Oreochromis niloticus: one gene and its partners. The protein of the gene in region 1 purifies or fractionates together with the protein of each later gene. This does not show direct contact. Links are inferred from orthologs where the notes say so. Each region holds a gene or a part of one and is shown in the gene's direction. Other genes may lie near its edges.

Evidence for each region. The genes of interacting proteins can lie anywhere in the genome.
Region 2: the proteins of snrpf (region 1) and rbm22 purify together in Homo sapiens (co-immunoprecipitation; 3 studies listed by BioGRID and IntAct, counting the BioPlex papers as one, with this or other methods). This does not show direct contact. The link is inferred for Oreochromis niloticus from reciprocal best matches to the Homo sapiens genes SNRPF and RBM22.
Region 3: the proteins of snrpf (region 1) and prpf4bb purify together in Homo sapiens (co-immunoprecipitation; 3 studies listed by BioGRID and IntAct, with this or other methods). This does not show direct contact. The link is inferred for Oreochromis niloticus from reciprocal best matches to the Homo sapiens genes SNRPF and PRP4K.
Region 4: the proteins of snrpf (region 1) and tgs1 purify together in Homo sapiens (co-immunoprecipitation; 3 studies listed by BioGRID and IntAct, counting the BioPlex papers as one, with this or other methods). This does not show direct contact. The link is inferred for Oreochromis niloticus from reciprocal best matches to the Homo sapiens genes SNRPF and TGS1.

Annotation. Positions count from the first base shown.
Region 1 is NC_031981.2:17,184,192-17,191,534, reverse strand, and holds the start of snrpf (small nuclear ribonucleoprotein F), read left to right. Parts: upstream 1-4,334; 5' UTR 4,335-4,487; coding exon 4,488-4,490; intron 4,491-5,105; coding exon 5,106-5,231; intron 5,232-6,954; coding exon 6,955-7,019; intron 7,020-7,165; coding exon 7,166-7,232; 3' UTR 7,233-7,343. UniProt on the Homo sapiens protein: Plays a role in pre-mRNA splicing as a core component of the spliceosomal U1, U2, U4 and U5 small nuclear ribonucleoproteins (snRNPs), the building blocks of the spliceosome.
Region 2 is NC_031966.2:25,337,204-25,344,170, forward strand, and holds the start of rbm22 (pre-mRNA-splicing factor RBM22), read left to right. Parts: upstream 1-3,959; 5' UTR 3,960-4,058; coding exon 4,059-4,112; intron 4,113-5,253; coding exon 5,254-5,307; intron 5,308-5,420; coding exon 5,421-5,450; intron 5,451-5,583; coding exon 5,584-5,716; intron 5,717-5,826; coding exon 5,827-5,927; intron 5,928-6,090; coding exon 6,091-6,263; intron 6,264-6,402; coding exon 6,403-6,603; intron 6,604-6,967. UniProt on the Homo sapiens protein: Required for pre-mRNA splicing as component of the activated spliceosome. Involved in the first step of pre-mRNA splicing.
Region 3 is NC_031974.2:14,009,537-14,017,487, forward strand, and holds the start of prpf4bb (pre-mRNA processing factor 4Bb), read left to right. Parts: upstream 1-4,943; 5' UTR 4,944-5,090; coding exon 5,091-5,149; intron 5,150-6,306; coding exon 6,307-6,397; intron 6,398-6,671; coding exon 6,672-7,807; intron 7,808-7,951. UniProt on the Homo sapiens protein: Serine/threonine kinase involved in spliceosomal assembly as well as mitosis and signaling regulation. Connects chromatin mediated regulation of transcription and pre-mRNA splicing.
Region 4 is NC_031982.2:1,809,359-1,816,583, reverse strand, and holds the start of tgs1 (trimethylguanosine synthase), read left to right. Parts: upstream 1-4,217; 5' UTR 4,218-4,325; coding exon of another isoform or gene 4,326-4,329; coding exon 4,330-4,442; exon of another isoform or gene 4,443-4,491; intron 4,492-5,631; exon of another isoform or gene 5,632-5,801; intron 5,802-6,317; coding exon 6,318-6,379; intron 6,380-6,657; coding exon 6,658-6,785; intron 6,786-6,892; coding exon 6,893-6,983; intron 6,984-7,225. Other genes in the region: tmem68 (DGAT1/2-independent enzyme synthesizing storage lipids), read right to left, coding at 2,185-2,355, 3,244-3,303. UniProt on the Homo sapiens protein: Catalyzes the 2 serial methylation steps for the conversion of the 7-monomethylguanosine (m(7)G) caps of snRNAs and snoRNAs to a 2,2,7-trimethylguanosine (m(2,2,7)G) cap structure.

The DNA of each region.
Region 1 (7,343 bases):
TTCAACTAGTGAGCAGTTTGTGGGTGAGGGGCATGTCAAAGTGACATAAGTAGAGCAGGTGTTGCACCTACAGGATATGTCATTTTCCATCTGCCTTCAGTCCAGCTGAGGGCAGGTGGAGGCACCGACAGTGATGCTTTTACACTGTAAAATGTAATATTGTGTTTAATTAAAAATATTAAATAGGCTGAACTCAGTTTTTATCAATTTGTTATTAGAACTCAATTTAAATAAGTTACCAGTACTTTTTATGCAAAAACGCTGATAAACTCAATTTATTTGAGTTGTCTTAACTTAGAAAAACTAAGTAAGCTGGAAGTTTTGCTTCTCAGTGCGGAAGGATGAAAGATGTGTTTTGAAAATGCCACGTGACTACAGTCCTCCTCCCTCTCGGATCAGTCCGCATGTTCACGGTGCATTTTTTATGGAATATGTTGAGCAAACCTGGAGAAGCGTCAGCTCAAGATATTATTGTTGTCATTGCTGTGGATCTTTACCTGATACACTGACTTGGTGAGTAAATGTTTACTCTTATTCAAACTGATTTGTGGCTTCTCTTAGTTTAGCACCAGGTTTAAAATCTTGCTAGCTAGTTAGTGTTAGCCTAGCGTTGCTGCTGCCGCTGGGCTCATGTTACTTAAAAATTAACACCACAGCCTTAAAAACCTTACATAAAACTATGTGGTGAAATTTTCTGTTGATTGTTTGAAATAAATAAGTGAGATAAGAGCCCAGACAAAATTCTTCGGGAGGTGCAGCCGTTAGGGGTGGGGTAGGTGTGGGATGTGGGGGGTGGATAACAGAGCTCTCCGAAAACGTGGAAGCACTTTTGCAAATATGTGATATTTTGATAAATTAAGTAGATATTTGAGCATTACACAGCTACATTCTCGCCTGAAAATATCTTAAAAGGTTATTTTGTGACCCAGAAAGGGTAGTCTGGGGAAAAGGAGGATCGCATTTGTCGGCCACGGTTGTCGGAGCCTGTGCGTACTTGTAAGCGCGGCAATGGCGGAGGAGCGCCGCTGAAAAACTTATTACTTTTTCTGGGTCACAAAATAAACTTTTAAGATATTTTCAGGCGAGAATGTAGCTGTGTAAAGCTCAAATATCCGCTCGATTTATCAAGACATCACATATTTGCAAAAATGCTCCGACGTTTTCGGAGACGTCTATTTTTTTTTCATGCTTTGTGGCAGCTTTAGAACATCTGTGGCATCTATTAATGTCAAATCTAGCCTTTATTTAACAACATAAGCAAACTCTATGTTACAATGATTGCACAGCCATTAAGGATCAAATCAGTTTCTGAAAAATGTTCTGTTTTTTCTCCCTCTGCTTGCTTCTTACTGTCTTTGAGGCCGATCGGGACCAGCACTCCTGCTGTTGGACAGAAAGACATCAACTCAGTGGTAAGTATTTTGGTTTTCCAATATATTAGCAACTGTCAGTGACATTTATATTAATCAGGCTGAACTTTAATCATACTTTAGATCAGCCTGTTTTACTTATTGTTTTATTTGTGCTTTGGTTTGGGGAAGTTGTTTCTTTACTGATCTTTTCCTGTCTTCTGTTATTAGACTTGAGATATGACTGCACTATGCTGTTGCTGGTGACTCCAGTTAATTCTACAAGACATGCTGTGTAAGTAAACAAACAACAACAGTTTAGTCTGCATTTCTTGAAAGATCACATCCCCCAAACTTAGTTTAGAGGGTCTACACTGTATATAGTGAAGTCTGCAAGTTTTCTAACAGCAAAATTTGTTTTGTGCCCAAAATCATTTTGCACATCATTAGAATGAAAGTTATTGGCCATGTTTGCATAGCCCTTTTTAAAATGATGCTTTCATGACATTATTGTATGCTGGGTGGTGGTCACTATGCAGACTGACAATTGGGACATTGAATGTCACCTCTCCGGTGGGGAGGGAGCCTGAGATCGTCTAAATTGGAGTCTGTTCTATACCAAATGCAGAAAAAAATGTTTTAAGAAAGCAATTAAGTTCATGTTCCAAAAAATATGACTATTTGCTTGCAGGACACCAGGAGAGATGAGTCCTCCGTCACAGATGGTGTGGTCAGTGAAGATGGTCGCCTGCAGGTTCAAGCTCATTGCATCTCCAACCCACATCCACTGCCAGTGTACTTAAGGGAAGTTAAAGACTTTCTTCTGCACCTACATTTGGATCACCTCGATCCATGACAGTCATTCAGGCAGTAATGCCTGGACTGGAAACAAGCCATCCTTAAAATAATACAACATTCCAGCTCATGTGTTGGAATGCAAAACAAATGTGTTGTTTAAATTAGAGACTGCACTTGTGACAGAACGATAAATATTTTATTCTGATTATATAAGTAATGTAAGTACAAAACAAACTGTGGTAGGCCTAAACTTATTTTCAGAATAATTACATCTGAGACTTTGTTTCATTGTAAGATTATAACAGTGATGGCAATATAATTGTTTGTTGTTCAGCAGAACAGTGTCCAGTATGTTGGCTGTTGTACTTTGTGTTTGAAAATAAAAGTTGGGCTCATTTTAACATCATTACAAAAATTGTTGTTAATTATTTTTAATCATATTCATGTTACCACAAATTGTTTTTTCATTTAGTTGAGCTTAACATTTTTGTCAGTAGGTAAACAATTAGTATTGTACAGTCAGAAATATCAAGTTATTGTTAATACTGCAGACTTGCAATGTATAAGTTGTCCTAACAGTCATCTTAAGTAAGCTTTACTTAGTTTTTTTGAGGCAACGAGTTTCCATAATTTTTTTGAGTTCTGGGAACTAACAAGGCTGTACAGTGTACTCAAAATGAGTAAGTTGCCCTAACTTGGTCATCTTATGTAAACTTGATCCAATTTTTTTGAGTTCTGGGAACAAATGAGCTTGTACAGAGTACTCAAAGTAAATAAGTTGACCTAACTTAGTCATTTTTAGCTAAGCTTTACTCAATTTTTTTGAGGCAACGAGTTTCCATAATTTTTTTGAGTACTGGGAACTAATTAGATTTTACAGTGTATTTGCTTTGAACAGTAATCAGATTACAATTTAACTTTTAAGTATATTATCATGAGGCAAAATAACTTTAGTTGTCATTTTGATGTGTATTTGGGATCATTGTCATGTTGGAACGCTGAGTTATGTTCAATTTTCAGTCATTTAGCTGTTAATTTGAGCTAAGTTGAAGTTTATTGAGGTATTCATGCTAAATTACAATGTCCCAGAACACTGGCAGCAAAACAGCCCCAGATAGAGCATGATGCTACCACCGCCATGCCTGACAGCTGGTACAGGGTTCTTAGGTTTGATAGCCTGACCTTCACTCCTCCAAACATTCCTCTTGTCATTGTGGACAATTAGCTTGATCTTTGTCTCATGTGACCATAAAACTGGCTTCAGAAGGCATTTGTCTTGTCTGTGTGGACAGCTGCAAATTTCATTCAAGCTTGAAGGTGTCTTTTTGGAGGGGGGACTTCTTTCTTGGTTGATAGCTATGTAAAACTGGCTTCACTGTGGACAGAGACATAGGTGTTCCAGAAGTTTCTAGTTCATGGCAGGCTTGAGCCTTAATGGTTCCTGGGTTGTTCCTGAATGTCCCAACCAATTTCCTCTCATCTGAGAATGACAGTTGGGGTCTTCTTCAAGACCTCAAAGTGTTGACACATCCAAATGATGCATGCAAACTGATGATCTTTGAATTTGCAGTTGTTTACAAATGGCTCCGAAAACCTTTGTAAATTGTGTAAATCTACAATAATCTTTCTTAGATCTTTACTGGGTTCCTTGGACTTTCCTATTATTCTGAATCAGAACCACTTATTAAAAGATTTAAGTTAATTTATACATTTGAGACAGTATGTATACTTTTGAAAATCCAAAATAAATTCAAACTTGCGCACCCAATTATTTTTAAAGTCATTAAAGATGTATACTGTACAATCATCCCACTCTAGAAAAACTAAAGTTTAAAGAAGTAATTAAAACCCCCAAATTATTGGAAACTTCTGACCACATCTGTACATATTCCTTATTTAGTATGTTCTTTGCGCCACCTGCCTGCAACTGATCGTATTGAAGATTATAAATGGTTGCTATCCTGTCACAAATCACTCCTGACATTGTCTCCACCCGCTCCATCCCTCCTCCACCCTCTTTTTCTCCTTTCTTGTGCGCTGTCCCTTGCTTTGATGGTTGACCCCAGCTTGTTTCTCTCATGTCTCTCATGGTCTTAACGGTTTCTGTTCTGCTCATAATAAGCAGTAAAATAAATAAATGAACAATGCGGTTTGGGTGTGGTGTGAACCCCTGACCGCTAGGTAGCGGTGTGTAAAAACACGCAGACTCCTCAGGAAGCAAAGTGCAGGACTTCCGGTCGGCGGTAAAGCGTGTGCTGCTGTGAAGTGCAACGTTATTGTGACGAAAGGATATCAAACGTATACCTTAAAACGCACAGTGCTTATTTAATTTGAGCTAAAATGGTGAGTAAAGCTCGGAAACACTACCTTTTAGCTTCACCGGATGTTTTGGGGGGATTTTTTACTCAGAAGGGCGCGGGAATAGCGACTAGCCTGTTAGCTGGTTAGCATAGGCGAAGCTAGTATCTCATTCATAACTTTATAGTGAATGAATGAATCCTCACACGGAAAGCAGCCTCGCATTTTATGTTTATCTACGGAAACATAATTCGGCTGGTTTCAATGCTTCCCGTTTATTTGCTGTTTGTTTATTGGCGCTTTTCTTCCTGCTTGAATCCGTAGAGAGTGTCGCACCAAACTTCATTCAGAAAACGTCTAATTTAACTGCCACACAAACATTTTGAAGCTAAATACTTATAATAACTTGATCATCATAAAATTTACGGTTTATTTTTTAATCGTCTTTGTCTTTGAAAGATTGTGCAAACTGAAAGGAAATGTGCAAGAGCTCTTTTTAGAGACCTGATACCTACTATAGGATCACAGACCAGAATAAGTCACTGCATATGGTTTTGATTTGACATGTACGGGTATTACGATGCTAAACCGTAGCTGTTTGTTTCATTGGGTCTGAATTTAATGTGTGTGTATTTATCTCTGATTGGTCTGCTTCTCCAGAGTTTACCTCTGAACCCGAAGCCCTTCCTGAACGGCCTGACTGGAAAACCAGTGATGGTGAAGCTGAAGTGGGGCATGGAATATAAGGGCTACCTCGTGTCTGTGGACGGGTACATGAATATGCAGGTATGGATCATTTGCCTTGTTCAATTACCTAAAATTTGTTCTACGGTCAAATTTTGCATTGTTTATAGACTAGATATTATGGTAAGAGAAACTGAGACTCGATTTCAAAATAAAAGCAGTTTTTAGCTAATGTGATTTTTAACATTGACAAGCGCATTTAGTTTGCCATTAATGCAGCTGCTGTAGCATGAAAGGTGACTTGGATTTATTTTTCTAAACTTTGTGTTATTCCATATCCAAGTAAAAACAACTGTTAGCCCAGAGTAATGTGTTACCTTTGCCTCCCCTGCTTCTTTCACTGTGTTTGAAGCAGCATACACAGCTCTTCTCTTAGAAGGTTGTTTTTACTGTTGCTTAATGCAACACAGAACTCCTCCAAGCCGTCAGCACACAGTTCCCCTGCATTACCCAGCAACAACAGAAAACTCTTTTGTGGACAGGGATAGCTCAGTAGGTAGCGTGGTCGCCCCATGAGCGGAAGGTCGGGGGGTTTGAATCCACTGAACAGCTACCCTGAGGTACCCCTGGGCAAAGTACCGTCCCTACACACTGCTCCCCGGGTGCCTGATTAGTGGCTGCCCACTGCTTCACTGAGTGAATGAGTTAAATGCAGAGAAAGTAATTTCCCCACGGGGGAATAAAGTATACATTATTGTTATTATCTTTATCATTATTATTATCATTATTATTATTATTATTATTAAAACTCGAGTAATGTGTTCATGGGGTCACACAAGAACCTGTAGTATTTTCCTGTTGAAGGATAAAATGACATCATTGCAAGGAAGCATCATTCCAGTGTTGGGTGGTACACCAGTGACTAGACAGTCACAGAAGAGGGGACCTGTGTTAACTCAAAACTGTCCTCACTTGTAGTTCTAAACATACACCCTGATGAAAATGCACACATATTAATATACTTAAGACAACATCAATAATCCACCTCAGGGAAAACATCCTGATACTCGATAATTTGTGAAGTATGAACAGTTTCTACCCTTAAAAACTGCACATTTATAGAATTACACCACAGGCTATGCTAAACTTAAAGTCAGAGTTTTCTGTATCACCAAAGTGGCTCTGTTTTTACCTGGTGAAATCACTGTGGCAACTAGGATTACATTTTTTTTTTTTATTATTCTTTTATTTAGCGCATGTTTTAAGTATGAATTTGTGCAACTGTGGCGACTGATCATTGCTATTGTCACTAGTCGGTGCTCAATGTACAAGTCATTTAATCTAATTACATTTTATTTAAAGTCCAATGATGGTGAATTGGTGTCCTAAATATTTATACAACCATCTGCCACCAGATGGAGCTGCAGCAACAAGATTTTTGTAGAAAAATGCCATAACTTTGCTAGTCTGGGCCTGATCGTATTGTTAAGGCTCTTTTTAGTTATTTTGATATACAAGCAGTAGAAATGAGCTTTCTCCAAAGGATGGCTGGCCTCTTCATTAGAGGCTCACAGTAGAGCCGCTGCACCTCCACACTGAAAGGAGACAGTTGAGGAGGTCACCTTCTGGGTGAGGTGTTCTAGGTGGACACCCAGGAAGCACCAGAGAGATTTTATCTGTCAGCTGGCCTGGGAACACCTCAGTGTTTCCCTGGATGAGCTGGAGGAGGTTGTTGGGATGAGGGAGATCTTGGCTTCATTGCTCCACCAATTATCTTACCTGACCTTTGAACTTTGTTTTATTTTATTTATGTTTTTTTTGACAGCTGGCAAACACAGAAGAGTATGTGGATGGAGCGTTGGCCGGACATCTCGGTGAGGTTCTCATCAGGTATGTGAATGACACTTTGTAACGCCGCAGAGAGAAATCAGCGGGAGTCCGAACAGTTTGAAGTCGTCAGACTTGACTAACTTGTGTTAATAATTAAGTGACTGGTGGAAGGAAACGCTTTCTCATGCTGTGCTCGACCTCCACAGGTGCAATAATGTTTTGTACATCAGAGGTGTAGAAGAGGAGGAAGAGGACGGCGAGATGCGAGAGTGATGCTGGGCTGATGTGTGTTTGTGTTTTCACCGTGTGAAACAAATGAGGGTTGGGGTTATTTTTCAAGCAGCTTTGAATCTTTTTTTTTTTTTTCCTACTGTATGTGAGACC
Region 2 (6,967 bases), on another chromosome or scaffold:
AAAATTTTGACAAACAAATGACAGCAACCTCACTCCTTAAAAAATATAATCTGCAAATGGAATAAGCCCCACTTTTTTTTCTCTCTCTCTCTCCACAGATGCAGGGTGGGACATTTGATAAACAACACATGGCTTGGGAATAGCAAAAAAGGAAAAGAAAAAAAAGTGAAGCTATGGTCAAATGAATCTCTTGATACATAAAAATCAGCAGGGCACCGCTTTTCACTTGCAAAAATTTGCTCTGCAGCTGAGGGGAAATGCAGGGAAAGTCCTTGTGACTTTGCCAAATACATTCTGAGCGTGAGTCACTGTTCTTTAGTAATCTCTTAGTCACTTGAGGTGCACACTTCCATGCTCCAACGCCCCAAGGCAACAGATTTCAGGCAGGTCTGGACTGCCAACCCCCCCTTTTTTCTCTTTTCTTTTTTTTTTTTTAAGTCTTTATAGTTTTTAACGGATGCGGTGCTTGGTGGAGGCATGCATTTGCTCTATTTTACGCCAGACAAGAGCAACAAAGCAGGCTCACAGAGAGAAGACACAAATCGTATCTGAGCCTTCCTTCTGTGCATGGCTGGAGCCCTTTTACAACAACCACCAAGCCACATGTAAACATATCAGAACCGGGTGCCTCTCTCGTGCACTTGAAAATGTCCCACTTTCTCAGAATAAAAAAAAACCTCATCTGGTTAATAATTTGACCTAATCAGCTTCACATTATTAGTTGTAAACAGTTAGTAAATTAGAAAAATACATAAACAAACACCAGCATTTAGATGACTCCTACAGGTATCTGATACATCCCATAATAGCAGCTTTTTACGAGCAAATTTCAAGAAAAAATATGATCATCTAAATCAAATGAAGTCATATTAAAGCACTAGTTACACTCCCGTGCTAATCTTTTGTCCGCCTCTTCCACGCGCAGCAGACACTCGCATAAATCTGTTTTTATTTTACGCACACTATCATTCGCCTTTTTAACCACAGCACTGTAACAGGTCTGCTGTTAACACTGCGGCCGGATAGTGCAAACTTATGGGAGGGCGATAATTTCTTAACACCGTACACACTGAGCCACAAAGTTGCAGAAAGCAGTTCTGCTCGGTGCCGAGCTGTGCCGCCGGGTCCCACTCGATAAAGGAATTCCCGTGAAAATCACGGAGCGGCTCTATCCTGAACACAAACTTCCACCCGACCCGCTCCACGACAATAACGTTAGCGCCTCGATCTCCGCTGCTACGTGGACGAGCGTGAAATCTGTGCCGAGGGGCCGCCACCATAATAACAACGCCGGGGCTTTATGTTCCCAGCTAGTGGGCAGAGAGAAAGAGAGGGAGATCAGGCCGGAAAAAAAAAACTGGCCTCATCTCCGTCTGCGCCAGACAACTAGCCTGGCCTGGGGAGACCGAGCGACGACGCTTTCGGTCGCCTACCAAATACAAGCAAAAACACCGCGACGCTCCGTGCGGTCGTGTCGATTTTCACTCACCTTGTCCGTGTGTGACGACGCACGGATGTTGTGCACACGAGGCCGGCCGGGTTGAATGTGGTGATTTAAGCGCGCCGGTCTCACGTCGTCTCGGTTTGCTGTCGGCCGTGATGTGGAAGCGGGCAGAGCGGACTCGGCTGGGAGAAATCGGGAAATGTGAGAAAGACCCTCTCTTCTGCAGCTCTGTGCACAGGCAGTAGCCCATAACTGTCGTCAGGAGGCGCCAGCGCGGCGCATTTTTCCTCCCTCTGATATGCGCATGCATGCAAGCTACAGAACTCCTCAAAGAAATCACTGTGCGATCTTGTTCCTGCAGGAGATTACTGCGGGAGCGTCCCTGCTCGACAATGCGGAGATTATTTGTCTTCTTGTGCTTCCACGTTTGTCGAAAACTATTTAAAATTGCACTTAAAAGTTTTAGATATTTTTTAGGCAAAGGGGTAGTTGAGGGAAAGCAATGCTGTGCGCAACAAGGAGCCAACATTTAGGTCATTTAACCGGTTTTGCATCAGTCTCTGTTTCCTTATAAGAATCACTTACACAGTGTTGAGTCATAGTGGCTTTATCACTGCATTACTACAGTTATCCTTTCAACCTACAGTATTTTCATTATCTTGTGAAGGGTATGTCTAATAGAATACTTGTAATTGCAACCATATTCTTAGTAATGCTTAATAATACAAAACATTTCACAGCAAACATCAATATCTTTGAATCATGTGCAATAAAACTGGTGACAATGGTCCAAAATAGCCTAAATAACAACCAAATGTCTGTCATGTCATGTGCCAAACAGATTCACACAGTACCAAGGCGATGATTCCTTGAAGCGGCTCTGTAACACGAAGCATCTGAGATGCGGCAGCACACCTACACGTCCTCTGACCTTGTAACTCTTGCGGTTGGTGATTTTAATTACAGGCCGGCTAAATCCGAGACAAAGCCGTCCTTCAAAACAACTTTGGCTCACGTGATCAAGGAGAAAGGGTCAGAAAACTCATTAGGACAAAAGGGCTGTGCCCAAAAGGTTTGCTTTGTTGTGCTATAGGGCAAGAGACTGCCTGTTCACCCCATTTGAAGGAAAACAACAGGAGAAGGCCAGTGGAAATTTCCATCTGCTCCCCTATTATGTAAATATGATTACTCAAACCCTCAATCATTAATGAATGGAGCCACCTATCTCATAGAATTCAACCAGTTTATACTTGAAATCCTAAATCTAAGTAAGAGATCAAAAGGAAAAGGACAACATGGGGATTTTCCACTCGGAGGTGGCCATAAAGAATCCCAGACGCTTCATCTTGACTTGCTGAAGGGCAGCTGCATGCTGCCAGTGCTCCAGACCTCCATCTAATCCCTGCCCTCTGACTCCACAACCTCGCTCTGACCTTAAATAAACATTAGGGACTTAGTTGCCATCTGTAATCTTCAACATCCTTTGGCCCACTAATTGGAGTTTCACACCGCAAAGACACCCTGACCTGAATCAGAGCAGGTGGACAGACAAACTATGTGTGTGTGTGTGTGTGTGTGTCGAGGACACAATTGGCTTACACAAGCTCTCACACATCAGCCAAGCAGTCTGTCTGTCTTCTGTTTTTCCCTGTCTCCGGAAATAGCACTTTGCAGCCTTTGTTTACAACAAATATCTCTGTATCAGCACCTCAGTTAAGCAAATAAAGCATTAAAGTCATTCTAAACCTCCCCACAGGTTGTAAGCGATATCATATTAGGTCACTGACTTTTAAGACTTACTCAAAAACACCAGTTGCGTTTTATGTTTTTGAGGTAAATTATTATTGTACACTGTCCCAATTAACAGTTCGTGTCATAGAGCCAAAGGGAAAAGCAAAAACACACTCAGGTTTACACCCAAGGTGCAGATGGACGAGTCACGGTTAGTATTTCTACAATGCTCACAGTTATTCTCTGATATTTACGTTCCTATTTTATTTTATCGTAAACCTGATAGTTTCTTGAAATAGAGCGACATCCTTAGGTGAAACGTGGCTATCTGGCCCGAGGTGCATTATGGGCTTTTGTAGTCTCGCAGACTACACAAGATTCCCACATCCCGCTAAACTAAACTCATCCTCAAACTGAGTCCTGATAGAACACATCTTAATCTAGACTCAAACCTAAAAGTAAAAACAGTAGTCACTTTAAAAATTTTCGCCAAGTGTACAGCGAGATCTGCAGGGTTGCCAGTTCTGCAGTTTTCCCGTAACTGGGCTAAGGTTAAAATGCTGCATTACCCCCCCCGGCGGGTTGAGTACAAATTATTGGTTAAGTAGACTCTTTTCGAAGGAGCTTCCATGTACATCTATAAATACAAACTCATTTTTGAAATGAAACAATTCATATATTAATATGTAGTTACATACATGTTTACATATCCCAGCAAACCGAGTCTAGCTCACATGTCATCCACGTACAGGTACTCTCTGCCGACCGCTGCCTGTACCGCTACCAGCTTTGGCTGCTGTGGGCGCCAGTTTTGATTGGCTATTGGGGTGGTTTTTGACGCAGAGACCTGGCAACCCGTTCCGGTTGCTCCACAGTCAGCAAAATGGCGACTTCCCTAGGCTCCAACACTTACAACAGACAGAACTGGGAAGACGCGGTACGTTTTATCGGGGTTATATGTTACCGAGTGGTTCCAGTGACTGATGTTAAGTTACATTTTATGAGTAAATATAATCGGGAAACACGCTAGCTTTTTACTAAACTATTCAGTTCTCTTGGTAGTTAGCCTTCCGCTAGCTAGCGGTAGCTAGTTGTAGAAGCGTGGCTGCTAGCTTCAATAGCTCACCTGTATACATCGTTGCTTACGATATTTTACGTTAGTTCATGAAACGTACCTGTTTCCGCTGGATCCAACTAGAGCATATTTTTAGGTTGTAGTAAAAACAACAGCGACTGAGCTCACAGCTATCATTGCTAACGTAATTTAATCCTGGGCTGTGTGATAGTTAACTGGCTACACCTATGAAGGCCAGCACTAGCAGGCTAACAATGCTAAAACGATGGTAGGCGGGTGAAAGTTTGCTTATATAAATGAATATAAGAAACCGAAAAAGCCACACAGTCCGGGGTGGCACCACTGTTTTGTAAAGTCGCATAAGCAAAGTGACATTGAAAAACCAAACCTTCTTGTTAGGCAGGTTTGACAGCGGTGTTGTGAAAATGTTAGAGAAAATTTAGTCTATAAAAATAGTCTTTACACTGCTGGGCACTATTTCAACAGTGATTGTTATATAAGGTCACAAATAGACCAGTCCTTAATTACTTATAAAGGAAACACAAAACATGTTTGTGACCTACCTAAAGATTATTTACCCTATAAGGCAACAAATCACTTTCCCTAATTGAGCTATGACACCACAGGACATTTATCCAATGTTAGTTTTGTTAAGACACTAGACTAAACTTTGCAACCCTAGATTATGTAGATGACGCTTCAGCCATAAGATCTGCTTATATTTAGATGTTTGGCTGATGCTGTCTGGGAGACGGATTAGGGCAAGGCCGTTTTCAGCACCCAGCACTCGGACTGAAACAGCATCCTTTAACAGATGGCAAAATAGGACCCATAGCGCTCCCTGTATTCACTCTTACCTGTACGTGTGCCAAGGTGCTCACAGCAGAAGGAAGGTGAAGCAGAGATGGAGAGCCAAGTTGGTCTGTTGAATAACTTAATTCAAGGGATTGTTGGATAAACCGGATTACAGTGCTTGATTTTCACAGTTCTTCTTTCTCCTCAGGATTTTCCGATTTTGTGTCAGACATGTTTAGGAGAAAATCCTTACATTCGTATGGTGAGTGAGTATCCCTGTGTCTTCATAGCAAATTCAAGACTGTTTTAACACTTTGTGTAGTGTTAATATCAGCAAATGTGCAAGTCCAAATATGTTCATGCTTTGTTTTACAGACCAAGGAAAAATATGGGAAAGAATGCAAGGTATGGTTTTTTTTCTTTCTTTCGTGTTAACTGTTTAAATTATAAATTGCCCACAGTATACAGGCCTGTTTGATGCATGTACAATGACAATAAAGAACTATTCTATTCTAATACGTTGCTCTCCGCCTATCAGATCTGTGCTCGGCCCTTTACCGTGTTCCGATGGTGTCCAGGAACACGTATGCGTTTCAAGAAGACAGAAGTCTGTCAGACCTGCAGTAAAATGAAAAATGTTTGTCAGACATGTCTGCTGGACCTGGAGTATGGTGAGTCTCTCGGACCAGCTCCTCTGGGTTTTGTCGCTGTGCAGATTTCATGAGCCCCTCATTTATGTAGTTCTGAGCGTAACCCTCCTGCCATCTCTTGTGTTTGACAGGTTTGCCTATCCAAGTCCGAGACACTGGACTCTCCGTTAAAGATGAGGTTCCTCGGTCAGATGTGAATAAAGAGTACTACACACAGAACATGGAGAGAGAGGTAAAAAAAAAAAAAAAAAAAAAAGCTCCTTTCTCATGACTGCAGTATGCTTGCACAGTGATAACAGTATTTACTGGTCCAATGTCTGATCCAATGTTTTTTAAGCAAACATAAGAGAGAGATTTTCCATCCATCATGCCTCTCTGGACTTTTTTGTTTACAGATAGCCAATTCCGATGGCACTCGGCCAGTGGGCCAGCTTGGTAAGGCTCCAAGTTCTAGTGATATGTTGCTGAAGTTGGCTCGGACCACACCATATTACAAGAGGAACCGGCCACACATCTGCTCCTTCTGGGTGAAGGGAGAGTGTAAGAGAGGGGAGGAATGTCCCTACAGGTGAGTGCCATGATGCTAGTCTCCATGGAGCCGATTGTTTCTTTCTTTTAATATCACCTCACATATATTAAGACATCGCTATGGGTTAGTTGAAGTGTCATATTATATTTATTGTTTTTCGGTTGCCCTCTTTACACAGGCACGAGAAGCCCACAGATCCTGATGACCCTCTAGCAGACCAAAACATAAAGGATCGTTACTATGGCATCAATGACCCAGTGGCTGACAAGTTGCTAAAGCGGGCTTCAACTATGCCCCGACTGGACCCACCAGAGGACAAATCCATCACCACTCTCTACATCGGGGGGTTGGGAGACACTGTTACAGATGGAGACCTCAAGTAAGCATTTCTGCTTCATAATGACCTCTTTTACAGCTTGCTGTGATAATTTATTGTTATGCCTCGATACCCGGGACAGCCGTGGCTGGAGGCATTGTGTTTTTGGCTGTCTGTTCATCCATCTGTTCCATTCCTATCTTATCTCTCTCATCTCTATTTAAATGTGGCACAAACAAAGATGAGCTGGTTAGAATAATACAAAATACAAATGTCTAATTATACTAAAATGATCATAGCGTATGTATCTTTGTATGCTCCTTATCGCCTCCAACACAAGTGTAGCAATCTTGATGAAACTTTGTATAAACATTGCCTAGGGCACTGTGAGTGCCAACATTTGTATGGCCTATAGGAGTATTTTATA
Region 3 (7,951 bases), on another chromosome or scaffold:
ACCTGAGGTGAACAAAGACGTTATTTTTCACGCTCTGCTTCATTTGGCTTAGTTTTTGTTTAATAAATAATGACATGGTGTAATCGATTGATCTGAGGATGTACTTTCTTTTTACCATGTCTGTGTTGTATCTAATGCGTGTACGCGCCCTTAATGAAAAGGAGCTTGTGATTGAAACCTTTTTAAACGATGATCACACCCAATAAATGCAAGTTTAGGTTCAAAATAATTCACATGAATTAGGCAGTATTATAAGATACAGTACACTAGTTCCAGTTTGTAACCTGGGTGGTTTTACACTGTTTATTTTGTGACGCAGCTGTTGGACCTACAGCACTGCTTAAATATCGCCATTACAGGCTTTGACTGTCACCCATATGCAATTTTACAGCCATGCTTAACTAAGCACTTGAGAGGAGTAAAATTAAGGGTTTCTGCAACTCCTGTTTTCTAATTTGTCAGCCCTTCACAGACGTTCTCCTCTGCCACACCCTGCACCTACACTGATGATCTTAACGTCCACAATGAACTTCAAGTCACCGCCCAGTCTGGCTGAAGTTACAAGACTTTCTTAATTTTAATTTTAATTAGTATAAACCTAAAAATGAAACCAATGGCGAATAACACTGATACTTATGTTACAATCTACTAGGCTCCTGGTATTCATGTGGATGTCATTTTGACACATGCCACCCACCTAAACACTGCAAAGCAAGCACCCCACCCCATGGAAAAGGCACCCCACCCAGAACAGCACAAAAAAACTGATTCCAACTTCCCAGATTCCAGTACTGATCAGGCATTTGCAGTACACAGTGGAACAAACCCAGTGTCCATTGCCCCAACTGGTCTGAGCTGTTTTGGATTTCAGAAGGGGTTTTTTCTGGTTGTTCTCATCCTTTCCTTAAAGCAAACATCAACTGAATCCCCCCGATTCAGGGAGTATGGCCATATGCTTAGCCCATACTCCCAAACCCACTTCTTTGCCCTTGTAAATTGTATGCCAGCTCTTATTCTCTCAGAAAAGTAAATAACAGAGGCTCGTAAAGCAAAACTGTTAAGAAGACAAGAGAAAGAAAAAATATGGATACATCTGTCAGGGAACAAATGACATCTGCTTGATAGGAGCAGGCGCTCTTTTTTTATTTAGAAGAGCTGCCTAAGCGTCACATTGAGGAAGTCATTCTGAGCTATAACTCTATCTTTGTCTGCAGCAGCAGACAAAACCCAGTGAAGAGTGCAGAGGCTAGGGTGACAGCGGGTTAGCAAACTGCCTGAGCGTCTTTAACAGGCTCTATAATGGACTGTGGTTGTCTTCAGCGAGCATTTGTTGGACCCCATGTTTTATGGCCCCGTCCTTATTGTGTCTCCAGTAAAGCCCAAAGAGCAGAGGGCTGAAAAGTCAAGGTAGGCTTAATGTCTGCTTGGGTTTTTTTCTCAGGGAAATACGAGTTGCAGTCATGAATCAGATCTACCGTGTCAGTGCGCCATTATTTGTGAAATGTCCATTCATCAGTAATGTGGCTGCAGATCTTAGAGCACAGTCATTGTATAACTGTGCAAAGGTGCAGTTTTTACCCATGCTAACAATTCAATTCAATTTTATTTATACAGCGTGAAATCACAGCAACAGTCACCTCAAGGCGCTTTATATTGTAAGGTAGAGTCTACAATAATACATACAGAGAAAAACCCAACTATCATATGACCCCCCTATGAGTAAGCACTTTGGCGACAGTGGGAAGGAAAAACTCCCTTTTAACAGGAAGAAACCTCCAGCAGAACCAGGCTCAGGGAGGGGCGGGGCCATCTGCTGCGACCGGTTGGGGAGAGAAAAGTAAGACAGTACAAAAGACATGCTGTGAAAGAGAGCCAGAGATTAATACAGGTAACAGCATGTCCATGTATCAGTACGTGGTTGAGCAGCCCATATGTGCATTATGACCTTTTAAACAAGTATTCTCACAAGATGAAACACATTATTTTTCATCAGCAGCTTATTTTGCATATGTTGTTCTCTGTAATCACAATGATGCTGATCAAATAGCATCAAAATGCTAATCAAAAGCATCCCTAGAAAAAGGAAGACTGGAGCTCTAAAAGACATAATCACTAAATATGAAGGAAAACAAATTAGTTATAAATGAACTGGTTCAACTGATTTTGACATATACTGCAGCTAGCCACAGAGGAACATTCACAATATCTTGGCTTCGCCTCTGGGTAGCTGGCATGTCACACAGCCCTATCCAATCTGGCTCTAACTCTGTGACAAATGTTCTGATTAAGGGCCTCATCATTTATGGGTATGGATCGAAATATAGCAGCAATCGTCAGGATGCTTCGGACTTTCTCGACTTGAAACAGGATGTTGTGATCAGCACCTTCTCCCAAAGTATGTAATCATTACTTATCCTTCTAGCATTACAGCTTACTGCTGCTATTATTCGACACTTGTGCCAAACAGTGAAATGGTACTCTCATTAAAGTCAGATGGATTTATTCTAGATTTACAGTTGTACAGATGTAAAGTTTAATCAGATTTTTAACCTAAAATAAGGATATAGGAACTGTTAAAATAAAGCTTCCTGCATCTGAAGATCTTATCTTATATCGTTACACGATATAAGTAGTTACACACCTCATAAGTCATACAATGTAAGACACAGAGATTGGTCTTTAGATTGCACAGCAGAATGGAGTATACAACATTTGCCTCGTACTGTATACTGCCATGATTTACTGGGGACACTGGGATGGGGCTGTGAACTAATGGAATATCTAATGTCTCTGTGACAGAGACTTTAATCAGTTGTGAGACCTCCAGCTTGCAACTTTACCATATAAATCTGAGATAGGCTGCACGACAGAAGGCCCAGGCTGCGAGTTACATCCTGAGACTCTCTGTGTTTATACTCTGTACATACAGTGTGGATTTATGTGAGAGGGGTTCCAGTAAAACTCAAGTCGCGTTGGGTATTTTTCGGTATATACTTGTTGTACTTGTAAACAAAATTTCAGAGTACTCAAGCATACACAAATCAAGATGTCAGCAAACACATGATGATAATAGTACCATCTGCAGTATCATCATTTGCCAGAAAATCTCATCCCATCTGCCAGGATGTCAGCATTAACACCGTTATGTCTTCATGCTTCCATTACTTCGTCACTGTTGTGGAGCAGCCACAGGTGTCTCACAATACCACAATTTACTGCTTGATATAAAACTGTCAGTGGATAATGCCCAGCCCTTGAATGGGCTTGCATCCTTGAAAGTCATGCGGTTTCACAGAGCTGTGCTCAGAAGCTACCGCTTACAGCTCGCAACTTTTTGTGTTGCGAACATGATGCCTCAGATCTGTCTGACTAGATTTTGCATTTTGTATGAAGCAACACGATAAAGCAGATGTGGTGTTTGGTATTTTTTTAACTCTGTCTTTCAGAGTCACATGCTGTTTTTCCCCTTTGCAGAAGGATTACCACTTTCTGATACTGGACTTGTTCTTGTTTTTGCAGGTCTGATGACTACCATAAGTAAAAGGCTATTTATAGAACTGTGTAGAAGTGTTGAAGCGCTGATCATTTCTGCATTTTTTGCTAGGATGTATGGAAATATCTTAGCTAAGTTGTCTGTCATGTGTAGGCATTATACTGGTTCATCCCTTGTGCTATGTGTCTTTTTATGCTTGGATGATTCATAGGTCAGTGTTAAGTGGCTTAACAAACTCACACAAAAAGCACATTCCTCTAAGGTACAAGAACCTGACCAATGACCTGCCTTTTATTTACAGTATCCTCTTTAAATAAAAGGCAATAAAGTTCAGACACAGAACTCAAGTATCACACAGTGAGACGCTTTTACTTGTTCTATTTTTACCACAATAATACTAAGTAACTTCCGCAAAATCATTGCTGTTAAAATGTTGCACTGGAGATAAAACTGTAATCATTCATGTGTCATTTTGTTGACCATTGGCGCACACTGAGGTGCGCAATTGTGACGCGCACGAGGGGTTTTCAGCAACCACGTGAACCACTACACATGATCCACCTGTAGTTAACCTCCTGGGCCATCCTGTGGTAAAAGCAGACCGAGCAGGCTCCAACAGCCTGTCCTTTGCACGACTATGTTTTCAGTTTTTCTATAGCCAATGTGGTCATTTAAAATCCTGTATCCAAGTCTTCAGGTCGCCCATCGATTTATACAGAAAAAATACGAAAATTCAAAAAAGATCAAGTACATTGTGGGGTATTTATTATACATTTGTTTTTATTATCCTTTATTTATCCAGGTGAAAAGTTTCAGTGAGATTTAAATCTAATTTCCAAGAAAGACCTGGCCAATAGGGCAGCAAAAGCCACAGCAAATACGACGCATAATAATATGACAAGTAAAAAACAAATAATATATTGCATACGGACAAGTGAGCACAAACATGTGAATAACACACAACAGCAGATCATTAAAAGCCACATTAAAAACAGTCACACTGGCTAAAAGAGCTATTCTCTCGCTCCTTTAAATATACATACAGGACAATACATACAGTACACAAACAGTAAATATAAATTTCGAGTAACGCACCTTAAAATTTCTTGATAATGACTTAATTTCTTGAGTTGCGTATCTCAGAACACTGACTTACTCTGCAATGTTTCCATTTGTACGTTAGCATTTCGAAATTCTGAGATAATAACACGAAATTTCAACATTCTCAACTTAAAAACTTTGGTTAATAACTTTACATTTCGAATTGCTTATTACAAATTTTCCACTCAGAAATAACTTGAAATTTCAAGATGCTTAATAGATGAAAGATTTGACATAATTACCAAAAATTTTCAAAAATTTTAATTTGGCAGTTGTTCGGGGAGGGGGGGTGTATATGTGTGTGACGTAAGTGGCTAATATGAACATTTCAAGTTACACGAGCACACACTCTAGTGGACAAAGAACAGACTTCAGTGCACAAATCCTGACTGCGATGCGCCGCCAAAACACCAGAGGAACGTGTCAGTATTTTGATATCATTGTACCCATGTGGTGAAAGTAGCCGAAGAAGAAAAAGCCCCCTCAGCTGAGGAAAATGGCCGACGTTGAGATGGACATCTCGTCCAGGAGAATGAATAATGGCAACGAGCACGTGTAAGTTATTAAATTACAGATATTTAAAGTTTGTGGCAGTAAGTTATAGGCCTCTTTCAGGTCGAAAATGAAGGGAAGTGTTAGCATCGCCGGGGCTAACGGAGTAGCAGGTTCACGTTGTTGCCGGGGCATGCTCAAGATAGGCTAACGTTCTTGGCTAGCTAGCTAACGTTCTTTAGCGCGGCTAGCACTAAGTTTCGGTGATAGCATGCAGAAGTGTACCTCATCCGCGTTTGTGTGTATTTGCCTCAATAAAGTGTACCTGCTAAGCCACACACAGTGTAAGGTTTGTACTCCCTCCCAAGCAGCTATTATGTAATGTAAGTTAGCATAGCTAAAATTATTCACGGGATGTAGCTGGTTAGCACTAACTTTGCTAAAGACGGTTAGCATGTCAGAGCTAATGAGTGAAAATCATCTTGGCGGTCTCGCTCGGGGAAAGAGGGAGCAAGTGAAGGTTACACGGGGATTTACCGAGTGTCACTTTCTCATCAACGAGTGGTTCTGATGAGTATTTCTACAGTTTCCTGCTAAACTGACCACATTATATAATCCCGGTATACCTGATGTTAAACACCTTACGGTAACCTAAAATGCTACACTTCGGGCGATGATGGGTTAAACTCGGAAATGAATGTTGTGTAATCTATGGACTGATTTTTAGACTAAATGCTCACGATGTCTGCAAGTTACCTCGAGGAAAGAATAGCCAGCTTTATGGTCTTTTTTTATGTGCATGTATAAAAATTAAAACCACTGATGATGATGTTGTATGATGTTTGCTGCTGTGAATAGTGTTCACTTCATTGTGTGTTAAAGAAATAATAATTGGACAGAGTTTCCTATTTTGCCAGATTTAAAAAAGATTTGATGTGTAAATGAAATTTTTAGTTGATTATCATAGTTTTTTATATCCCAGACACTGTTACTTAAACTTAAGCACCTGTCAGTATTTTGGACAGATGGCAGAACTCTGTGTGTCTCATTCTATGGCATGTTATCAGTTGCATTCAGGGTCAGGCTGTGTGTTCCTACTACCAGTCCAAAAACTATATTTAACCCAGTTGCGTGTATTTTTTAGACCTTTGTTTCCTTTTGACTTCAGTCAGCCAAATAATTTAGCACTAAAGTAATTAAATATTCTTTTTTTGAAACAGGAAGCAAGATCTGGAAAGCCATGAACGAAGTGGAAATGAGGACAGTGGCGACATATCTGAAGAGGAGGAGGAGGAGGTAGGGGTTGACAATGTGAGGACCTAAATGCCATCAGTGGTGTCATCTCTTTTAACACAAATCTCAAACTATAACAAACTGTGCTACTATAACTTGCTGTAAGATCACCTTTAACCAAAATTTAGTAACACTTTTTGTCTATATCAGTCATTCTGAATACAGTCTAGGTTTGTTAGGTGGTAAAAACTCAAAGAAAACAAGATTGTATCTATGTTTACACCATAACTAAGAATTACAAAGATCATCTGTCAACTAAATTGATTGTTATCCTGGTATGTTCACATGCTAGGAGGAGGCTGAAACTAACGGCGAGAAGACAGAGGAGGGGTCCAAACATCACAGCAGTAGCGGTAAACACAAGCGGAAAAAACACAAGCATCGCAGTAAGCACAAAAAGCACAAACATGCCTCTGATGAGGACAAGGACCGCAAACGCAAGCATCGTCACAAACATAGGAAACACAAACGCAAAGAGGGCTCCTCTCCCTCCGCCGCTGTCCTCTTTGGCTCCTCTACTCATAGAAAAGTTGAATCTTCTCCTTCTTCTGGAAATCCAAGTCTGGATGACAGGGCCTTGCTGGAGGATTTGGAGAAACAGAGGGCCATGATCAAAGCTGAACTTGACAGCCAGTTGATGGAGGGAAAAGTTCAGTCTGGCATGGGTTTGATTCTTCAGGGGTATAACTCTGGATCTGAAGAGGATGGAGATGCAAGGTTCAGAAATGGAGAACCACGACAAAGGGGCAGCTCAGGTAAACCTATATCACCCAGAGGAGGAAAAAGTGGCAAATCTAGACGGGACTCAACAGAGGGCAGTAAGTCTAGCTCCAAACGCCGTAGTCGGAGTAAGTCTGCAGACAAGCCGGCCAAGGAGTCTAAGCAGGACAAGGTGACCAAAAGCACCAAGGACACAGGTGTAAAAGACAGAGGGCGTGGAAGGAGCAGGTCAAAAGACAGGAAGCGTTCACACAGCACTGATAGGTCCAAGGAGAGAAGGAAGTCCAACTCTCCTTCCAGCTTCAGGGCAGAGCAGAAAGTCGGCCGCACTGATAAACGGTCCTCTCCGCAGCGGGATGATAGACCCAACCAGGAAAGAGTGAGCCGACGGTCCAGATCGCCTGGACGGGAACGGCCAAGTCGCTCAGACGCTGACCGGGACAAACGGCCAGCCAAGTCACCATCCAAGGACACTTCTTTAGGAAAGGAAAACCGTTCCCCTCATAGACGAGGGGCTCACAGCCCTGCAAGGAAACGCAGCGCTTCCCCTCGCCATAGAGATGCCCGCTACCCTTCGGCTAGTGCCTCAGAAAGGACATCAAAACAGAGCCACTCTCCTTCCAGAACTAGGTTCTCGCCCCAGAGACGCCGTAGCCGCTCACCAGAGGTCAGGAGGCGAGATGCTGAGAGGCAGGAGTCACCACTGAGGTTAGTGCACACCTCTGGCTTTTCCACCGTTTCCCAGAATAAGCTGATTGTGACAGATGACAGAATTGCCTTTCAGTTTCAGATGAATAAAAGTGAGTTTGCAAAAATGTAAAATATTTAAGTGTTCATTTATAAAAACGAAAG
Region 4 (7,225 bases), on another chromosome or scaffold:
TCTCTGCAACAAAAAAATCGAAGAGACAGTAATAGCACAAATATAACAGCCTGGGGCACCGGTTTAGCTCAGCGGGCGAGCAGGCGAGCATATGCCGTATGGCCCGAGAGCAGCAGCGGCCCTTTGCTGCATGTCTTCCCCCCTCTCTCTCCGTCTCCCCTCTTCCTGTCCATCTACACCAGGGGTCAGCAAAGAGAAGACGGAGAAAATTAAATTTTATTTATGTAATGAACACATTGTCACCCCTTAAAAAATAATAACTAAAAATAAAGTCAACCAGTTGAAGGTGTCTTTTAAATGAATTAAAAAGCTGAACTTAAATTATCCATGTAGCAAAAGAAAAACAGTGAGCCGTCATCCTTATATCGCCTTCTGGGCTTCCCGGAGCGGAGCCTTGACCAGAATTTAAAAAATAATTGGAAAAAAGCACTATGCTCCTAAAAAATTAAAAATAAATATTTTCAACATATCTGCATAATATTTATTTTACCGGGTTAATGTGCTTCGCGGGGCGTGGCCCGCAGTGACGCTGCAGGAGAGGCAGACGTACCTGAGTGGCATCCGCAATCACGCCTCACCTGCTTGCTCTCTCTGCTCTTGTTTGTATGTGTCGGGCTGTGCGCTGGAAAGCTACAGCCGGCTGTGTGTGTGAAAAGTGGTCAATAAAGAGATGCTGAAGAGCATGTTCATGTAAACATCGTCGGTGCCGTGATGTGTTTACAATCGGACTTCTGCTCCTGAACCTCTGCGCACAGCGTCTGCTGTACGAAGTCACTTTCATCTTTACGCAGGACTGTAAGCTGTCGTCTGTGAGGCGTGTGCGGTGTTTGTTTTTAACATAGTTCATGGTGGAGAACAGATGCTCACATACATATGTGGATCCGAAGATCGACACGCCACAAATTAGACATACTGGTAGGCCACTCTCGTCAGAAGTAAATACAAATGACTCTGCCCAGGCATCGTTAAATGTTGTATTTTCTTCAGATATTTTTCTTTTCTTACAGTTCTCCATACTAGGCCTACCTGGGGCTGAAAGTCTCGGTAAACGCACGTCGTTTCGGCGGGTATACCGGCTTCAAAGAGTGTGACGCTTATTTTGAACAACGAAAATAATAAAATATAACTTTATTTTTATTATTCAAGATCGCAATAATCTTCCAATTTAGAACTACAAGTTTTAAAAAAGAACTAACACAAATAAAAAACACTTCAGTTAAATACTTATAATTTATTTTTCCGAGCCGCAATATAAGGACTAAAGAGCCGCAGGTTGCCGACCCCTGATCTACACTGTCTCTATCCTATAAAGGCTAAAAAAAAAAAGGTGTGATGTCAACAAGCATAGTCAAAAATGTCTGATGTAAGTAGGTTAAAGTAAACGACTCATTGCCAACTTCCTGACATTACATGGAGTATAGAGAGACCATTATTTATCTAAAGTAGTGTTGAAGACTTTCCCGATTGAATTAGAGAAAATCCAAAATAACTTCTAATTTGTGCACCCAATTTTTACTTTTTAAAGTAATGAAAGATGTATGCTGTACAATCTTTCCAAACCTGGAAAAAGAACAGTTCAAAGAAATCATTACTTTGAAGAAAAGTGTTGTGTGTTATATGTGCAGTAATGACTTTTTTGGAGTAATGATCCCAACACTGATCACAACAAACTGGGGAAACACCTCCAGTGTGCACAGACATTTGACCATGCATGAATTTAATGTCTGTGACATACTGCTTAGAGATGGTCTCAATGAGAATTGATTATGCAACTGGATTTACTAAATTTTTATCAATTCCCATCCCTACTTAGGCCTCATATATAAAACTATAAAATACCACTCAATACTTTGAATCAACTGGTTTATTTTTTTATGAAATAACAAGTGAGCAGGCCTCACCTGTCCATGAAACTGCTTGCCAGTCAACTGTCCCTCTAAAAATAGGGAACTATGTAAAAAAAAAAAAAAAATAGCTGTGAACTCCTTTACTTAAATCTGAAAGTCTGCACTTCAGTCAGACAGTCCTATAAATACTGTGCAGATGTCGAGAGGCAAAGCTACTAAAATTGTGTTTTTGTCCCAAACATTATAGAGGGAACTGTAGATGATAACTAAACAGTGAAGGTCTTTGATTTGTGTTACTCTATTTATGTGACTGAGACTGTAGGGACTGTTTACGTACCTTGTAGACATGAAGGAAGAGTATAGAGAGGTAAAGGAAGATAACGATGAGGAAAGGCACAATGAAGACGATGGCTAGGGGTGTGAAGACCCACAACAGGTATTCCAAGACACTCAGATAGTCCTCTTGATCAAGACCTGCCCATTCCTCCCATGCATGAAACAAACACACCTGTTGACCAGGACCAGAATGTCAATACTAACATCCATCACTTTGGTCCAGATGAAAACATCTCAATAATTACTGGATAGGTAACTTTAAAATACGCAACACATTCTTGTTTGTATTAGCATTACTTTTAAAAACTGGTTAACAGTGTTATGTAACATTACAGTTGGACATAAAATACCACTGAGGGAGAATCTAGAGTTTCTAGGCGATTGACACCATAGAAGCTCTTTTCACAACTTAACATGTGACATAGTGATAGTATAACACTCTTTGTAATACCAGGTGAGATCGTAATAACAACTACATTTCGGGACAAATTATCTACATTTAAATTTAGAATGGCGTGGGGCCCACGATCTGAACGCCTCCTCTGTGGAGGAGAGGGCCTCAAAGAGGGCTGGAGAGACATCCCATTATTCAAACTGTGGGACTTATTATCCACTTGTTGCCAACATATTGTGGAAAATCCATCCATGCATCTTTTTCTGCTTCTCCTTGTGGGGGGCTGGAGCCTATCCCAGCTGTCTAAGGGCAAGAGGCAGGCTACACCCTGGACAGGTCGCCAGTCTGTCGCAGGGCTAACACTATGGGCAATGACTCACCAATTCACCAAGCACTTTGGACTGTGGGAGGAAGTAGGAGTACTGGGAGAGAACATGCAAACAGAAAGATCCGGCCTGATTGTGGAATTGAACTCAGGACCTTCTTGCTGTGAGGCAACAGTGCTAACCCTCTATTATGGAAAATTTGTTGTATTGTGTGCGTCTTAAAATAAAATAATGCATGAACACCAAAGCTGATGTTAAATAAATAACACATTTGTTTCTAGGTAAGCTCGATTTCATTATCAAGTCCTAGGTGCCTGTAATGCATGGACAGGATGCATACCAAGAGAGAGAGAGTGTCCTCCGCGCCCGTCAGACATGACTGGTTGCCAGTGCCTGACATAGTGCTCTGCTCTCAGCCACGAGAACTCCAGCTCAACCGAGTGACGCTCAGATCAGGTCTCAGGTAGACTGCATAGAGAACACCGGCTGCTACATAAGAAGGAGGTATAGGAGGACACCGCTAACTCAGTTCTGTGACTACATTTACAAATACACAGTCGCAGTGGATTACGCAGATCAGAAAAGATGTAAATAGCACGTATTATACCAACTACAATTTCTAATAAACACCAGCAGCTTTTTAACATCAAATCAAATGACAGCAACTTTACATAGCATTAGTATCTAGAACACCACCACCTTTTTACTGGGAATAGGAAGAGGCTACATTTGATCAGCAAAATGACAACAGCGAACTCGGGCTACGGTATAATAACTGACTGAGAGCTAAGTCTCATTGAAGGAGCCGGAAAATCTGACATTTCTCAATAAGCCAACTCCACGGTTACAAACATAAAAACGGTACCTACCGACTGCTTACTCGGTAAAGCGTGCCATTAGAATGTAGCACGATATTCAGTATTACACTAGCAAAACCTATACTTCTTAGAGCTATCAACTATCCTGTTCATCAACCCGGAACGTCGTTGGGGGAACACAGAGTCACAGATTTCTATCCTAAAACTGTGCTGTACCGATGAAAGAGTTCTTACTGGCTTACAATAAAGAGTTTCCGGGTCGACTCGTTCGCTTCAAAATAAAAACAAAACTGAATTGCACCAGCTTTCAAACAGTAACTATATACAGTCATAGAGAATTAGAAAATATCCCTCAAAAGTAAAAGTGGAAAATGTCAAAAGGTGCCATTAAATTAAAAAAGTGTAATAAATTCAGTAAAAATAGTTACATTAATGTGCCGAAGAAAAACTACTTTGCAACTTTTATTTTGAAAAATAGCGGAAAATCCGCTGTTAGCTTCTAGTGCGGAAATAATCAATAATAAAGGAAAGAGTCCCATGCTGCTTAAAGACGCGAGCAGCTCGTCGGTAAATGAAAGTGTGTTTCTTGTTGTAGCGAGCTAACCGCCATGATGCTGGAAATGAGAAGAGTAGCCCTGGTGGCGGAAATCATCTTCAGCAAGAAGGAGTCACTGCAGGAGGAAGAAACGATTCATTGTCGTTGCTCCAGAGCCTTCGTACAGTGAGCCTCCACCACCTTTCCTCTGTCCGCTAGAGCTATTCTCATACACGTAATTCATTTACCGCATGTCGAACAACAGTCTGATCTAAACCGGTGTTTGACATCTCAGCCAGGCTGCCATGGCAACCAGCCAGTGTGGATTATTAAAAGACAGCAAGAAATGAAAACCAGTCAAATCTTTGAAATTTCGTGTATTAAATGTCGTTTTAATGAATAGCCGATTTACTGTTGTATAACTGACTTGATTGAAGACTACCACAAAGCAGTGTTTTTAAAAGTTATATCAATCACAGTTGAATAAATCGCAGTTATTACAAGGCTGCTACTGTTACTAGTACAATGGTGTGCTAAACTCCACAAGAAAATGTTAGCAACTGTGTGCTAAGTCTGAATTGGAAAGATGAGCAGTGTGTGGTATGAGCTGCCACACCAGGAGAGGTGTTGTCTTGCACACAGAGCGGTGGAAACTTATCATACACTATATTGCCAAACGTATTCACTCGTCCGCCTTCACACACATATGCACTTGAGTGACATCCCATGATATTGTCCCACCCTTTGCAGCTATAACAGCTTCAACTCCTCTGGGAAGGCTTTCTAGGAGTATGTTCATGGAATTTTTTACTTTTCTTCTAGAAATGTACTTGTGAGGTCAGACAAGGATGTTGGATGAGAAGACCTGGCTCACAGTCTCTGCTCAAATTAATTAATTTTGTAAAAATTCCCTTTAGGCTGTGAGAGGTGTTTGTGTTAAAGCTTTAAATATTGGTGGTTATCAAATACTGGAGCTTATGAAAGGCAGGAGATTTTTACTTTTCCACAGAGTGCTTGTTCTAAGTCTAGTAATAGCAGCATGCTTTACATCACTGCACTCACTATGTGTTAATAGACCTCTCTGCATCGAATCATATCTGTTATTAATCTCTGTCTCTCTTCCACAGCATGTCTTTATCCTGTTTTCCTTCTTCACCCCAACCGGTCGCAGCAGATGGCCGCCCCTCCCTGAGCCTGGTTCTGCCGGAGGTTTCTTCCTGTTAAAAGGGAGTTTTTCCTTCCCACTGTCGCCAAAGTGCTTGCTCATAGGGGGTCATATGATTGTTGGGGTTTTCTCCGTATTTATTATTGTGCGATCTATTGTACAATATAAAGCGACTTTTGTTGTGATTTGGTGCTATATAAATAAAATTGAATTGAATTGAATTGAATTGAATTGAATTAGATGCTTTGCGTGGCGCTTGGTCATGCAAGGTTTGGATTCAGCTGCTCAGCTATGGAAACCCGTTCAATGCAGCTGCCTAACTGTTCTTCAGCTAATCTGAAGCCCATGTGAAGTTTGGAGTTCTGTAGCAATTGCAAAAGGTTGGTGACCTGTGCACTACGTGCTAGCACTTTGTGGCTGAGATGGTGTCATTCCCACTCACTTCCACTTTGTTGTAACACCACTAACAGTTGACTGTGAAATATTTAGTTGCGAGGAAATTTCAAGATTGCACAGGTGGCATCGTATCACAGTACCACGCTGGAATTCGCCGAGCTTCTAAGAGCAACCCAGTCTTTCACAAATGTTTGTAGAATCAGTCTGCATGCCCAGGTGCTGATTTATACACCCGGATGTGATTGGACCACCTGAATTTAACGATTTAATGAATACTTCTGGCAATATCGTGTGTCATGTCAAATGCTTTGAGTGTTGAATAGGAGTAGAAAAACTCTGTATGAATGCAAGTATATTACTTTATATTTTCACAGTCATTTAGATGTTGTTGTTCTCAGTACCCAAAAACCTTGAGTTTTAGTGGATACGCTGATATGTACAGATGCATCTATGGATGTCCTACAGTACATCTGTCCTTTATGTCCATCGCCTCTTTACAGGGATCGAGAGTTGTATCGTTCTGATAACAGACTTCTGCCTGACCTGGAAAACACTGTACAAGGTATATCCTATCCTATCATGATATTTAATAGTACTGGGGATTAAAATAATCATCTATGAAATGTATCAGGAATTGGGGTTGGTGGTACGTGTTTTTTAGCAGGTTCTGAGGAACATGATTCTGATTCTCTAACATCTCATAAGACGGACTTGAATTTGGTAAAGAGTTGGTGTTCTCACTGAATACTCTGTGTTGTAGAAGAATGTGGCTCTCTTAACCTCGCTGTACTGTCTAGTTTTAGTTGCCATGATTTTAAAAATACATTTCTCAACTCATAGACGTAGATGATGGTGAAGAGGAGGAGGAAGAGGAGACTGAGGTGGAGGAGCTGGATGAAGAAACTCAGATGATGGCCAGTATGGGCCTACCTTTAGCCTTTGTGTGCTCGTCTGAGCAGAGGAGAGCAGTAAGTCACACTTCATCTTGGCTTTGTTGTGCTGTGTTATTAAAGTCACTGTTTTTTTAATGGAAACTAAAGAGCAGTTTTGGTTATTATTTTTCGTCATGTCACAGGGGTGGAGGTCTAACAGGAGTTCCTCAAAATACTGTGAAGAAACAAGTGAAGAAGAGGAAAGTAAAGAAGATCCACAGGCTGATGAAAAAGGTAATGCAATTATCTTATTGCTTTTATTGTTTTTATTACGAGTAATGTTACAAATTGTAAGGTTTTTATGAGTTTTTATGTGGTAGAGTAACCACTTTCTCCACGGTCTAACTGAACTCCTTCCATACCTGAGTTTTTGTGTCAGCTACTGCCAGAGCTGCACTCTGCTTGTAGGTGGTGGAGCTGACAGGTACCATCTGGTACTGGGATTACTGCGACAACATGCACCAGTGAGCTTTCAG